3 linked regions of the Sus scrofa genome follow. The protein of the gene in region 2 purifies or fractionates together with the protein of the main gene of each other region. This does not show direct contact. Links are inferred from orthologs where the notes say so. Each region holds a gene or a part of one and is shown on either strand. Other genes may lie near its edges. The genes, in order: SMAD6, SMURF1 and STK38.

What was found.
Region 1: the proteins of SMURF1 (region 2) and SMAD6 purify together in Homo sapiens (affinity purification with western blotting; 4 studies listed by BioGRID). This does not show direct contact. The link is inferred for Sus scrofa from reciprocal best matches to the Homo sapiens genes SMURF1 and SMAD6.
Region 3: the proteins of SMURF1 (region 2) and STK38 purify together in Homo sapiens (affinity purification with western blotting; 3 studies listed by BioGRID, with this or other methods). This does not show direct contact. The link is inferred for Sus scrofa from reciprocal best matches to the Homo sapiens genes SMURF1 and STK38.

Annotation. Positions count from the first base shown.
Region 1 is NC_010443.5:164,651,119-164,654,866, forward strand, and holds the start of SMAD6 (mothers against decapentaplegic homolog 6), read left to right. Parts: upstream 1-1,483; 5' UTR 1,484-3,748. UniProt on the Homo sapiens protein: Transforming growth factor-beta superfamily receptors signaling occurs through the Smad family of intracellular mediators. SMAD6 is an inhibitory Smad (i-Smad) that negatively regulates signaling downstream of type I transforming growth factor-beta.
Region 2 is NC_010445.4:6,054,321-6,057,968, forward strand, and holds part of SMURF1 (E3 ubiquitin-protein ligase SMURF1), read right to left. Parts: intron 3,569-3,648; coding exon 3,503-3,568; intron 2,268-3,502; coding exon 2,192-2,267; intron 1,145-2,191; coding exon 903-1,144; intron 248-902; coding exon 163-247; intron 1-162. UniProt on the Homo sapiens protein: E3 ubiquitin-protein ligase that acts as a negative regulator of BMP signaling pathway. Mediates ubiquitination and degradation of SMAD1 and SMAD5, 2 receptor-regulated SMADs specific for the BMP pathway.
Region 3 is NC_010449.5:32,208,563-32,212,210, forward strand, and holds part of STK38 (serine/threonine-protein kinase 38), read right to left. Parts: intron 2,941-3,648; coding exon 2,823-2,940; intron 1,833-2,822; coding exon 1,709-1,832; intron 1,543-1,708; coding exon 1,447-1,542; intron 553-1,446; coding exon 458-552; intron 1-457. UniProt on the Homo sapiens protein: Serine/threonine-protein kinase that acts as a negative regulator of MAP3K1/2 signaling. Converts MAP3K2 from its phosphorylated form to its non-phosphorylated form and inhibits autophosphorylation of MAP3K2.

The sequences.
Region 1 (3,748 bases), on a different chromosome or scaffold from region 2:
CGCTAGAGGGAGCCAGTTAAAATAGAAGGCAGATCTGTCTCTCCCTCTCCTGGCTTCCAGGGTCTCCCAGCTCAGAGGACAAGCCAAAGACACATCTATGGCCTGTGTGACCCCCCCACCCCCACCCCCACCCCAGTTTTTCTCTCATCTTATCACCTCTTTGATGGTCTTGGAACATGCTCAGGACCCTTGTACTTGATGTTCTCTGAGCCTGGAACATTCTTCCCCCAGTGTCAGAGAGGTTCCCTTCATCATCAAGATCTTGCTCAAATGTCACCTTCCCAGAACAGCATTCCATGACCACTTTCTCTGAACCACACTCACCCTCTCCTAGCATTCCTGTCTCCTCTTCTCTGTTTTATTTTTGATCTTGGCAACTTTATCTTCCAAGATGCTGGATACCTGATTATTTTGTTTATGGTCTGTCTGTCCTTCCACTAGGTTCCTTGAGCTCAGGGATTTTTGTTTTGCTCACTGCAGGATCCCTAGCACCTGGAACATGGCCTGGGACCCAATAGGAGTTTGATGAGTTGGTGTCCAATAAATGAATACGAAGTTTCATTCAAGCACATGTGCATTTTTTTTTTTTTTTTTTTTGCTATTTCTTGGGCCGCTCCCACGGCATATGGAGGTTCCCAGGTTAGGGGTCGAATCGGAGCTGTAGCCCCCGGCCTACACCAGAGCCACAGCAACGCAGGATCCGAGCCACGTCTGCAACCTACACCACAGCTCACGGCAACGCCGGATCGTTAACCCACTGAGCAAGGGCAGGGACCGAACCCGCAACCTCATGGTTCCTAGTCGGATTCGTTAACCACTGCGCCACGACGGGAACTCCCACATGTGCATTTTTCAAGAAAGAAGGTCCAGGGTACTCATCAAAGTCTCAGAAGTGTTGTCTACCACCAAAGGGGGCAACAGCTCCCCCATTCTGGACCATGTTGGCCAAGTAGATTGACCTTCTAGAGATGCAGACATCACATAGCCAGTTGGGCCTATAGTGTTCTCCTGAGAGTTAATAAGTGAAGCATTGTTTTATCCATTAGTTTTCTGTGAAGTGGGCTGGGTTGAATCAGTCTCCCTGCCCTTCCATCTCTACATAGCAAGAGGTGGCCCAGACACCCTCTATGATACCTCCATTCATATGCAGTGACTCCTAGAGCCTGCCTCTTCCAACCGTTGAGAAGCAAGCTCTGTCTTGAATGATTTCTGCCATTTCATGCCTTGTGTCTTCCCAGCTAATGTGGAAACATCCCAAAGCAAAAGATCGTGTTTTTCTGGGACCAGATATTAAGAAAATGGACACTCAAGCAGCCCTGGGTTCAAGTCCCATATCTGCCACTTGTTATTTAATCTCTCTGTTTCCTTCTTTTTTAAAAATGGATCCTATAAGAATAAGAACTTCTTCATGTTGTTGGGAGGATTTGATGAGATAGTGCATATAGGTGTTTGGTACAGGATGATGAACAGCATGGAACTTGGCAAAGAAAACAATTTTAATTCCAGCATATCACAAACATTAAGTGCCCTTATGTGATAGGAGTTATGCTAGGGACTAGGGAGACGAAATGGGACAGGCCCTCTCTTGTGTACATTAGCTTCTCTGATAGTGCAGAGTGGCATCAAGTGTCCTGTTTCGCTCAATGGGGCTGTGAGTGGCCTGTGCCTGGCATTTCAGCTTATTTAGCCACAGGGGGCTTACATTCCAGAGGCAGAGGATTGCAAGGTTTACGAATTGTGAGAAAACACAGGGTTCTCTGAGGGGAATACTAGAATGATGGGGAGGGGGCAGATTTGAATCTGAGGGGTTACCTCTTCATTATTTTGTGAGTAACCTGGCTGCAGAGACCTGTGGAGCAGCAACTGGGACCTCACTTATCTCCTCTCCTGCACCCCAGGGAATTGGAGCTTGTTCTCCAGAAGGGTGATCTAGGAGGATGCCTGTAGGCTGAGGCTCCGAAGCATGCCCTCTGGGCACTGCGACACACACCCTCTAGTGGTCACAAGTCAGGCAGTAGGCTGGATGGGCCCTAGAAATCCAAGGACAGTGGGACTGCCACCATCCTTTTAGTATCCCTTTCTGATCCTATCTCCACCGTGACACAGTCTTTCTAGAATGAGGGATGACTCTGGGACCTCATGTTGTTTAATTTTGGTAACCACCTATAGCATGATTCCTATTCCCAGTTTACAAATGAGAGCCCTGAGGCTAATAGAGCTGAGGGAAGTTAAGTAGGGTCAGTACTGGACTCAGGCCTACCAGGCATCATCCAGCTGGGACCTAAAGGCGCCCCACCCCACTGGCACATCTCTGGGTTGAGCAGGAGCAGAAGGCAAACTCTGTCTGAATTACCACCCAGGGAGAAGGTAGCCCTCCCTTGGAAGGTTACTACTTTAGTTGCTCCTTGGCCTGAGGCTCCAAGCACAGACCTGGCATCCCTGAAGGAATCCTGCAGAAAGGGGTGAGCTGGTACCTCAGGGAGGTATGGGGGTAAGGGGGAAAGAGCCACAGCTCACAGATTTGCCTCCAGGGTTAGGGGCTGAGCATTTGAGGAAGACTTGAAGGGTAGCCCATCTGCCTGCTGGTCTCCCTTTACCTTTGCTTCACACCCATTTATGCCTCCCCCCAGCCAAAGTGGCTGGGTTTAAATCCAGCCTCTACCACTAACTACAGGCTTGTGCAAGTTACTTAAGGTCTTTGTGCCTCAGTGTCCTTAACTGTAAATTAGTGCTTAACAACCATGCCTACCTCCCAAAGTGTTGTATGGAGTTTGGGGCCTCACTCCACAACAGATTCAGCACGTCCAGTGGACATTTTGAAAAACACTGTCCTGAAGGGTGTGCTCTGGCAACACAGACCCACCCCACTTTCTAGCTGTTGGGGGAGGGTGCACAATGGTTTATACCTCTCTGGTTTTAGCATTTCAGTACTTTCAAGACTATCTTCTTTTCAATGGCAAATTAAGTGAGCAAGTTCCTATTCCTCAGTTTCCTCATTTATAAAATGGAAATAAGAGTATCAGTGTTGTTGTGAGAATGACTAAAATCTTTGTAATGCTTGAAACATGGCCTTGCCCATAGTAAACACAAGTTATTGCAATCCATGGTCAAACCAGCAGATACCCTAATTAAAACAAGCTATTAAAAAACTACATTACATTGAGTTTCTCCTTACATTAATTTCCCCAGGGGCAAGAAGTGATCGAAAAGGGGGTACAAGATCCTTTATTCTTTAGTTGTCCTTTAGGTGTTGCTTACACAGGTGTTTTGTTCACTTGTGAAAATTCACCCTGTTTACTTGCGATTTGTGAACTTAAAATGCACTGTCTTGTAGAATCTTCATGGTTCTGTGAAGAAAGCAGGGCAGGCATCAACAACCCCATTTATCAAACAAGAAACTGAGGTCAAGACAGCTGTTTTCATTAGGCCGAAGTAGAAGGGGATGAGGGTGGGGAAGATTCTAAGTCCTGCCCTCAGTTCTCCAGAGTAACCGCCTCTCCCAGAGGGTGCGGAGCGAACAGTGCCTGGCTCCAGGTGAAGTTCGGCAAAAGGTTCTGAGTCCTTCCTACAAACACCGCCCTTCCCCCAGGGCACACACAACTCGGGCCCACTCGGGGACTCACACCACCGCACGCTCACAAGGCCAGCCCCACACGTGGGAACCCCCGAGGGAGGCGCGCGCGCAGGCGCCCCCTCTGCCCTCGCTGGGGAATGGCGCCCAGCCCCGGGCCAATGAGAGTAGCGGAAT
Region 2 (3,648 bases):
CGTCCCCCAGAGAGTCCGAGTCCCGGCCCCCAGGACAGATGTCCTGTCTGTGCCGCCGCTCTGCCGGTTTCTGTCTGCAAACCTCGGGGCTCTGTCACCCACACTCGGGGCTCCAGGCAAAGGCCGGACGCAGCTCTGCCGGGGGGCATTCGGGAGACCTACCTGGGTACCCTGGGGTCGTGCCAGGTGCTGACTCCAGTCTGCGTGTGCAGGAAGTACACCTGCCCCTGCACGGTGGTTCTCTGCTCTGCACAAGAAAGCGGGGAGCACCATCAGTTACCCTCAGCGACAAGGAGGGATCCTGTAAGCCGACTCCGCTTCCTTCCAAGAGCCTTTAAAATCACCAGGAAGAGGGCTGGAAGGGCAGCAGCTAACCTGCCGGGCTTCCGGGAGCCGCAGCCCCGCGCCCATGCGTGCGGGCAGCTGACTCCTGTTCACACCCGGAGAGCCGGGCTCTCCTTCCTGGGCCGCATCCCCAGGCCTGCCACCGGGGGACGGACCCCGCCGGGACCTCTGCCACCATTCTGACTCTACACGCGGTCCTCCTTCATTGAGGACCTCCCTCTGCCGCTGTCCAAAGGTCCCGTCTTTTCGCTGCTGCCCAAGGCTGGCCTTCAACCCCCAGGGCACCGCAGACCCCTCGGTCAGCCCCCTTCCCCCCGGTGGCACTGGTCTTTGGTTCACTGGCCTAAAATCCTCGCACAACCGCTCACCTGGGAGGTGGGAGCAACCGGAGTGCGGCCCCGCCGAGCGGGATTTCCCACCGATCCCCGGGGTCTCGTCTTACACGGACACAGCCCCGCGTGGCCCAGCGCCACGAACGTCAGCAGCTCTGACACGCACAGGTTCCTAACACGGGGTTAGGCTGCCGGGCACCCCGGGGGCGGGCCGAGGCCTCTCACCGTAGCCTTCAGGCAGCTCCGGGGACTGGTGGCCGTGCGGTCGGTTCTGCGGCGTCTGCAGGGGCCCTCGGACCTCGGGGTTTCGAAGTCGCTGGGCCTGGACTCTCTGATCTTGACTCGGGGACTCCACAAACCTGCAGTTCCCGCCTCCCGCCGCGGCCCCCGGGCCGTCCGTGTAAGGGGCTGGTTCCTCCATGAAGCAGCTGAGTGGCCTCCCGGGGCCCGAGTCTTCATACACGGTTCTAGAAGGGGGAGGAGCACAGCACGCGTGACGACGCCGGCGGGGACAGGGAAGCGCCCAACGGTGCGTCATGACGCTCGCACACCTGTGTATGTGGCTTTTCTTGAACGATACAGAGCATCCCAACGTGCTTAGTTGCATAAAACTCGGCCCGTCCTATTTAATTGGAAAGAGAGAGGAGGAACCAGGGGCCAAAGGGAGCCACGTGTAAAGTGCCGCCGAGGCCACCTGCGGGATCTCATCCTCGTCTGGAGCTGAAGGGCTGGAAAAGACCAACCGAGTATGCGAAGGAGCTCATAAAACGGGACTTCAATTTGACGCAGAATCAGATCCAAACGTTTCGTTTCCCTTGTCATTTTATTCTAGAAGAGAATTCCTGGTTGTGTAAAATGCTGCATTGACTTTAAAAGCACCCTTTACCCTAAATCTTCATCTTCTGCACCATTCTGAAGACAACTGACCCAGAGAGGCGATTTTCCTCTATAAGCAAGTCCTTTTTTTTCTTTCTTTCTTTTTTTTTTTTTTTTTTTTTGTTGTTGTTGTTGTTGTTGCTATTTCTTGGGCCGCTCCTGCGGCATATGGAGGTTCCCAGGCTAGGGGTCGAATCGGAGCTGTAGCCACCGGCCTACGCCAGAGCCACAGCAATGGGATCCGAGCCGCGTCTGCAACCTACACCACAGCTCACGGCAACGCCGGATCGTTAACCCGCTGAGCAAGGGCAGGGACCGAACCCGCAACCTCATGGTTCCTAGTCGGATTCGTTAACCACTGCGCCACGACGGGAACTCCCCCACTGCAGTTCTAATTCTTTACTGATGCTCTGTGGCCAGTGGGAACCTCTGGAAATTGGATTCTGAGTCTTTGGGGCACGCGTCTCGACAGGGTCCTTTATAATCAAGCCAACTGGACCCCAGTTTTATCCCCACGGCCTTTCCTGCATCCCAGCCTTCGAGCCAGCAGCAAGGTGGGAAGGCCAGTTTCGCGGAGCGAGAGCGCGCGGGCGGCAGGGGGCCCCCCCCTCAGGCCTCGCCGCGGCGGCGGTACGCACCCTTCGTTGTCTAACAGGCCTCTGCAGTCCACCACGGGGCCTCCGGTGCCTAGTCGGTCTCGCGTCTGTAAGCTGACTGAGAAGAAGACAAGGGTTGCGTTAAAATCCAGTGCCACATGATGCGACTGCACACAGTGGGCCAGTGCAAACGCAGAAGTTGTGTACAACCTTACTTTACAAGGCACATGCCTACAGGTACACACACACACAGCCCTATGCTCTCAGGCCTGAAGCAGTTTGCGCGTTAGCTGCACCCCCGGTGCGGCTGGGAGCACTCCTGCAAACGGGGGGCAGAGGGCGCGTCTGCCATGCTCTCGGTCGGAATCACAGATTGTACTCCTCACTTCGTCTAAGCTCCCTCACCTTTTAAGACGATTCTGATTTGCGTCCAATAGGGACACAGAGAGCGCTTTTGGAATCTGCAGCGTCTGGCTGCATCTACACATATGTTCTCGGTCCCCGCCGTGAACGCCTGAGACGCTGATGAAGTCGTGACGCCCCTTCCAGGTATCCGGCCTTCCCCAGCCCGGCCCTCCCCAAAGACAAGAAGAAATGGCCCGCAGAGAGGCCCTGGGTGAGGACTGTGTCGTCAGGGGAGTTTTCAGGACGCTACGCTCTGCTCATTGATCCCGGGTCAGGTCCACCTAAGACAACAGCTACGGGTCTGGGGTCCTAAGTCACTGGCGTGCGGCGGGGATACTCTGTCTTGATGCCTCGCCACGTCTGCGCTGCCCCCAGAACGCTCCTAAAAATGGGGTGGATACGTGCACGAGCGGCTTAGCGGATTCCTTCCTTCCAACAGAACACCTCTGGTCAGCAGTCTGCGACGGAGCCCCTCTCACGTCTTCATTCTAAGCCGCTCAGTCCTGACTCCGTAAAATCACACCGCCTGGAGTCTGCAGACACCGCCTCTGCCTGTTTCATGTTCGGCGGGTCTTCCTCAAGAGCCTCTTTCTCAGCACTTGCGTGTGTGGCCACCGTTTTTATCACCTACCCTTGGGTACCATGACAACTAACTGCCCATCAGCGTGAGGGTTAAAAATGACACTAACAATTATAACCCTCCGTCTTTTTTGTACCTCGGTCACTTTAACTCCACCTTGAATGACAGACTGAAGAGCACCAGGTAACATACTTAAAAAAAACCACACGAGATGAAACGTTTCAGTACTGGACAGAGATGGGCCCCGAGGGTGGTCTGTCCTTTCAGTGTCACCATGGGTCAGTGCCTTAGAGTGTTTCCTCGGTGAGGAAGAGCTGAATGGTACGTTCTGTAAAAGTATCGCTTTATACAGATGAGAAAGTTCTTACCCACTATTTGGCCACGAACTGCATCAGTATCTGAGGGATTTAGTTTGCATAGATCCAGACGCTGGTCTGCAAACAAACAATTCAAAACTTAACCCAGGGAAAGGTACACCAGGGAGGAAGGCAGGAGTTCTGCATTTAGTACAAAA
Region 3 (3,648 bases), on a different chromosome or scaffold from region 2:
AGATATGAGAGTGGATTCACTGCCTCACCCCGCAGGACTACTCAGTGCTGAAGACACGAAATTCTCGAGGACGTACCACAGCTTCTGTTAAAGGTTATTTTTCACTCTGCATATTTTCTGCATTTGCATGCCTATGTTTTTTCACCTTCATATTTTTCCACAATATTTTAAAAGTTTTATTTTCCCATTTCTGTCATTTCAGGTTACCTAACCTTAAATTTAATAAATAACCACAAAAGAGAAAATCTTTGTGATTCACCACCTGGTTGAGCAGTCTAAACGTGGTGTCTGTACTCACTTGTCATTCAACACCATCTCACTGCCGGCCAGTATTAACACTAGAAAAATACTTACAAAGTTCCTCTCTATGCTCTCTACCCTGATTTGTAAACATCACCCCAAAGTTCGGGGAAAGTGATGCACTTATAAGCAGCAGGAAGCAGTGGCAGTATATTACCTGTTGGCTTAAGAATATCAGATTCTGGAAACTCATCGAAATTTGAGGTATCATCAATGCTTTTGATTTCAATAGATATTGCAGCAGGTCTCTCTCTGCCAAGAACAGACATGCCAAAATTACTACAATTTGTAATCACATGGATCACAACTAACAGACCCCTGGTCTGACATGGGAGGACTTTCCATGCAGGCAGCATTTATTTTCTCTGAAAAGCTTATGACCACTGACCAACCACGGCAGCTGATTATATCCAAACAAAATCATGATGAAAAATACAAGTAATTATTCATAGCTAGGAAGAAAGACCAGAAAAATATGGAGAAAAGAAATTAAAATCCAAAGTTAGTGCACTCCCCCAACAGCCTGCCCTGTCCGCTGAAAGGGAAACGGAACCTCTCAGTGTCCCTTCATGTAGGGCAGAAGTGCCAAAAAGCAGAGTGGCTAAAAATGCACAAGGATGGCAAAGGTAAAAACCTCAAGCATGCAAACAAGAGCGCTATGAAAAAGATGACAACTTTGCCTTCTGTTTGGTCTGGGTGGTATGGGGGTAGCCCTCTACAACCACCCCCCTTGACAATTTCAGACCCCCTCACCACCACCCAACCTGTCCTTCTTCAGTCCTTTTTCCTTCTCTATCTCCCAGTGACAGAGCCTACCCTATGGGCAAGGTGGGCCATGTTCTGGGTAGGTGGTCCTCCGCTGTGGAATCCAAAACATGACACTAGAGGTGGACATGTTCTGGGGAACAGCAAACGCAACTGTGGAATCCAAAGCTGCCTTCACTTGGGAAAGACGGCTGGCTTCACCGTATCCTGTGGCACACAGCCCACAGGAAGCTCTGACTCCCAATCCTCACAGTGAATGAACCGGAGTTTCTAAGAGGCTCTCTTCCCATCCTCGGCTTGCCAGTAAGGGTACTTCTGAATTAGCATTAAACAAACTATACGCTTTCTGAAATTATCCTAAAAGCTTTTATATGGATATACCTGATATGTTCCCAGTCAACACCTTCAAAAAAAGGATTACTTTTGATTTCCTCAACTCCAGGGGCTCCAATTCTATGTTCCCATTCACAGCAGAATCTGGAAAAGACAGGCCTTTCAGCGTTACCTCAAGTAGTCGCTTCAAAAAAGAAAGAAATGGGAGGAAGCAGGGGGCAGATCCAGGCAACAATGAAAAATTTTAAAAAATGGATTCACTGTGTCAAAAAAAGACAGGGCAGGGGGCAGGGGAAATGTTCTCTGATACCTCAAAATTAGATCCTTGGCTTTCTCAGAAATAGGAACTTCTGGAGGAAAAGTCAAAGTTTCTTTCCAGTTCATCACCTTCTTATACGTCTCTTGAGGGGTCTCAGAACAGAAAGGTGGGTAGCCTGTAATAAAAAAGGAACTTCACAGCTTTTACATCCCAGAACTTTGAATCTGACTGAGATTATTCTCCTTAATACAATTTTCTATCTCTTTAATGCTCCTCTATGCTCTTCCCCACATGACAGGGCCAGGATTTCTACTCATCCCAGAAAATATCTAAACTCATTTTTCTTTTTTCCCCAAACTCCTAAACCCAAAGTCAAGTTGTGCTTCTGGTACCTTTAGGGAGCCAGCTAGCAGCTGGAGCCAGCAAGGACATAATAGGTTGCAGATGGACTCACTGTGCCCAAAGAATGAAACATCATTAAGCAACAACCCCATCCTAGGAACATCCTTATACAGGCAGAGGGCCCAACCAGTTGAATAAGAAAAAAGCATCACTTTTAAAAGTGACCACCATCCTCTCTTTGAGAACTTAGAGGCGAGAGGAGAGTCATTCCCCCTGCGCTGCACACAGACCACATTGGCCAGCACGGGCATCCTCCCTGTGCTCACAAAGATGCACGGCCAGACATGCCACACGGGTCACACACACGTGCTCTGCTAGCATTTGGGCATGAGGCTGCCCCCACAGACATGCCCCCTAAACACAGACACTCCACCCAAACAGGAGGGGAGAGGTCAGAGGGCTCCATGCCTTGAAGGCTTTGAAAGAGAGGAGACAGCAAATAAGAAGAGTGCCTGAGACACTGCCCAGTCAAGACTCTCTGTATACAGTGGGTGTTCAAAAAACGCCGGGGAGTGAAAGAGCTGCTAGATGGAGGATGAAAAAGTAGAAGAAAAACATGATGAATGATCAGCAAAGCAACCACAGGGGGTCAGGGGGCCAGAAGACAGATGAGTCAGTTGATGGCCCAGTGTTCCACCTAGGAAACTCCACTTTGCAAGACGGGGAGGGGAGGGCTCACTTAGATGACCAACTGAAACAGTCTATTACCAACACTGGACTCTTTCCCTGCTGCACAGGAAGTCCTCTGAGAGCACGCACTTACCGATGAGCATCTCATACATGATCACCCCAAGCGACCACCAGTCACAGAGCTTGTTGTACCCGGTCTGCATGAACACCTCGGGAGCAATGTAGTCAGGAGTGCCTACCGTGGAGAAGGCCTGAAACACGTACCACACGTCAGGGAGGCCCAGCAGGTGGGAGGGTGCCCAGAGTTCTCTTCTAGAGACCAAAGGCTACGAGCACCACCTAGAGCAGCAGAGCCCAGTTTGGGAATTAACTATATCTTGTTCCAAACCATTCCTCTTTCTACTGCATGTATTTTTTAATTTGGAAAATCATAAAGGGAAACTATTACCAAAAGACAAAGTTATAACCTATTAGTCAAAGGTTTATAAATGTCTAATTACCAAACTGAAACATTTAAATAAATAGTTCTTAGAGGAGTATTTTCTAAATTCGAGTAATCGCTCACATACCAGGAAGTACTAGTACTGCAATACTAGGAAGTATAGTCAAAGCCTTCCTGTGCTCAGCATCTGAGGGCTTATTACATAGAAGGCTCTAATCTAAGGCTTTCCATGTTACATAACTTTCAAAATCAAAAGCTACAGCTGTGTTGACTTTTTAAAATATTTATTATGAAACACTGCAAACATACAGGAAAAAAAGGCACAATCAATACCCATTATCTGTATTAAAGAGAAGTTAATATCTGCAATATTTGTCTCAGGACATTTGTCTTGTTAAAAGAAATGAAAGTATAGAATCCCTTCCTTCCCAATGAAGTCATAACTACTCTGATGTTGCTGTGCTATGCTTATATGGATAAATGAAGTATTATTTCTTGTATATTTCAACTTTTAATA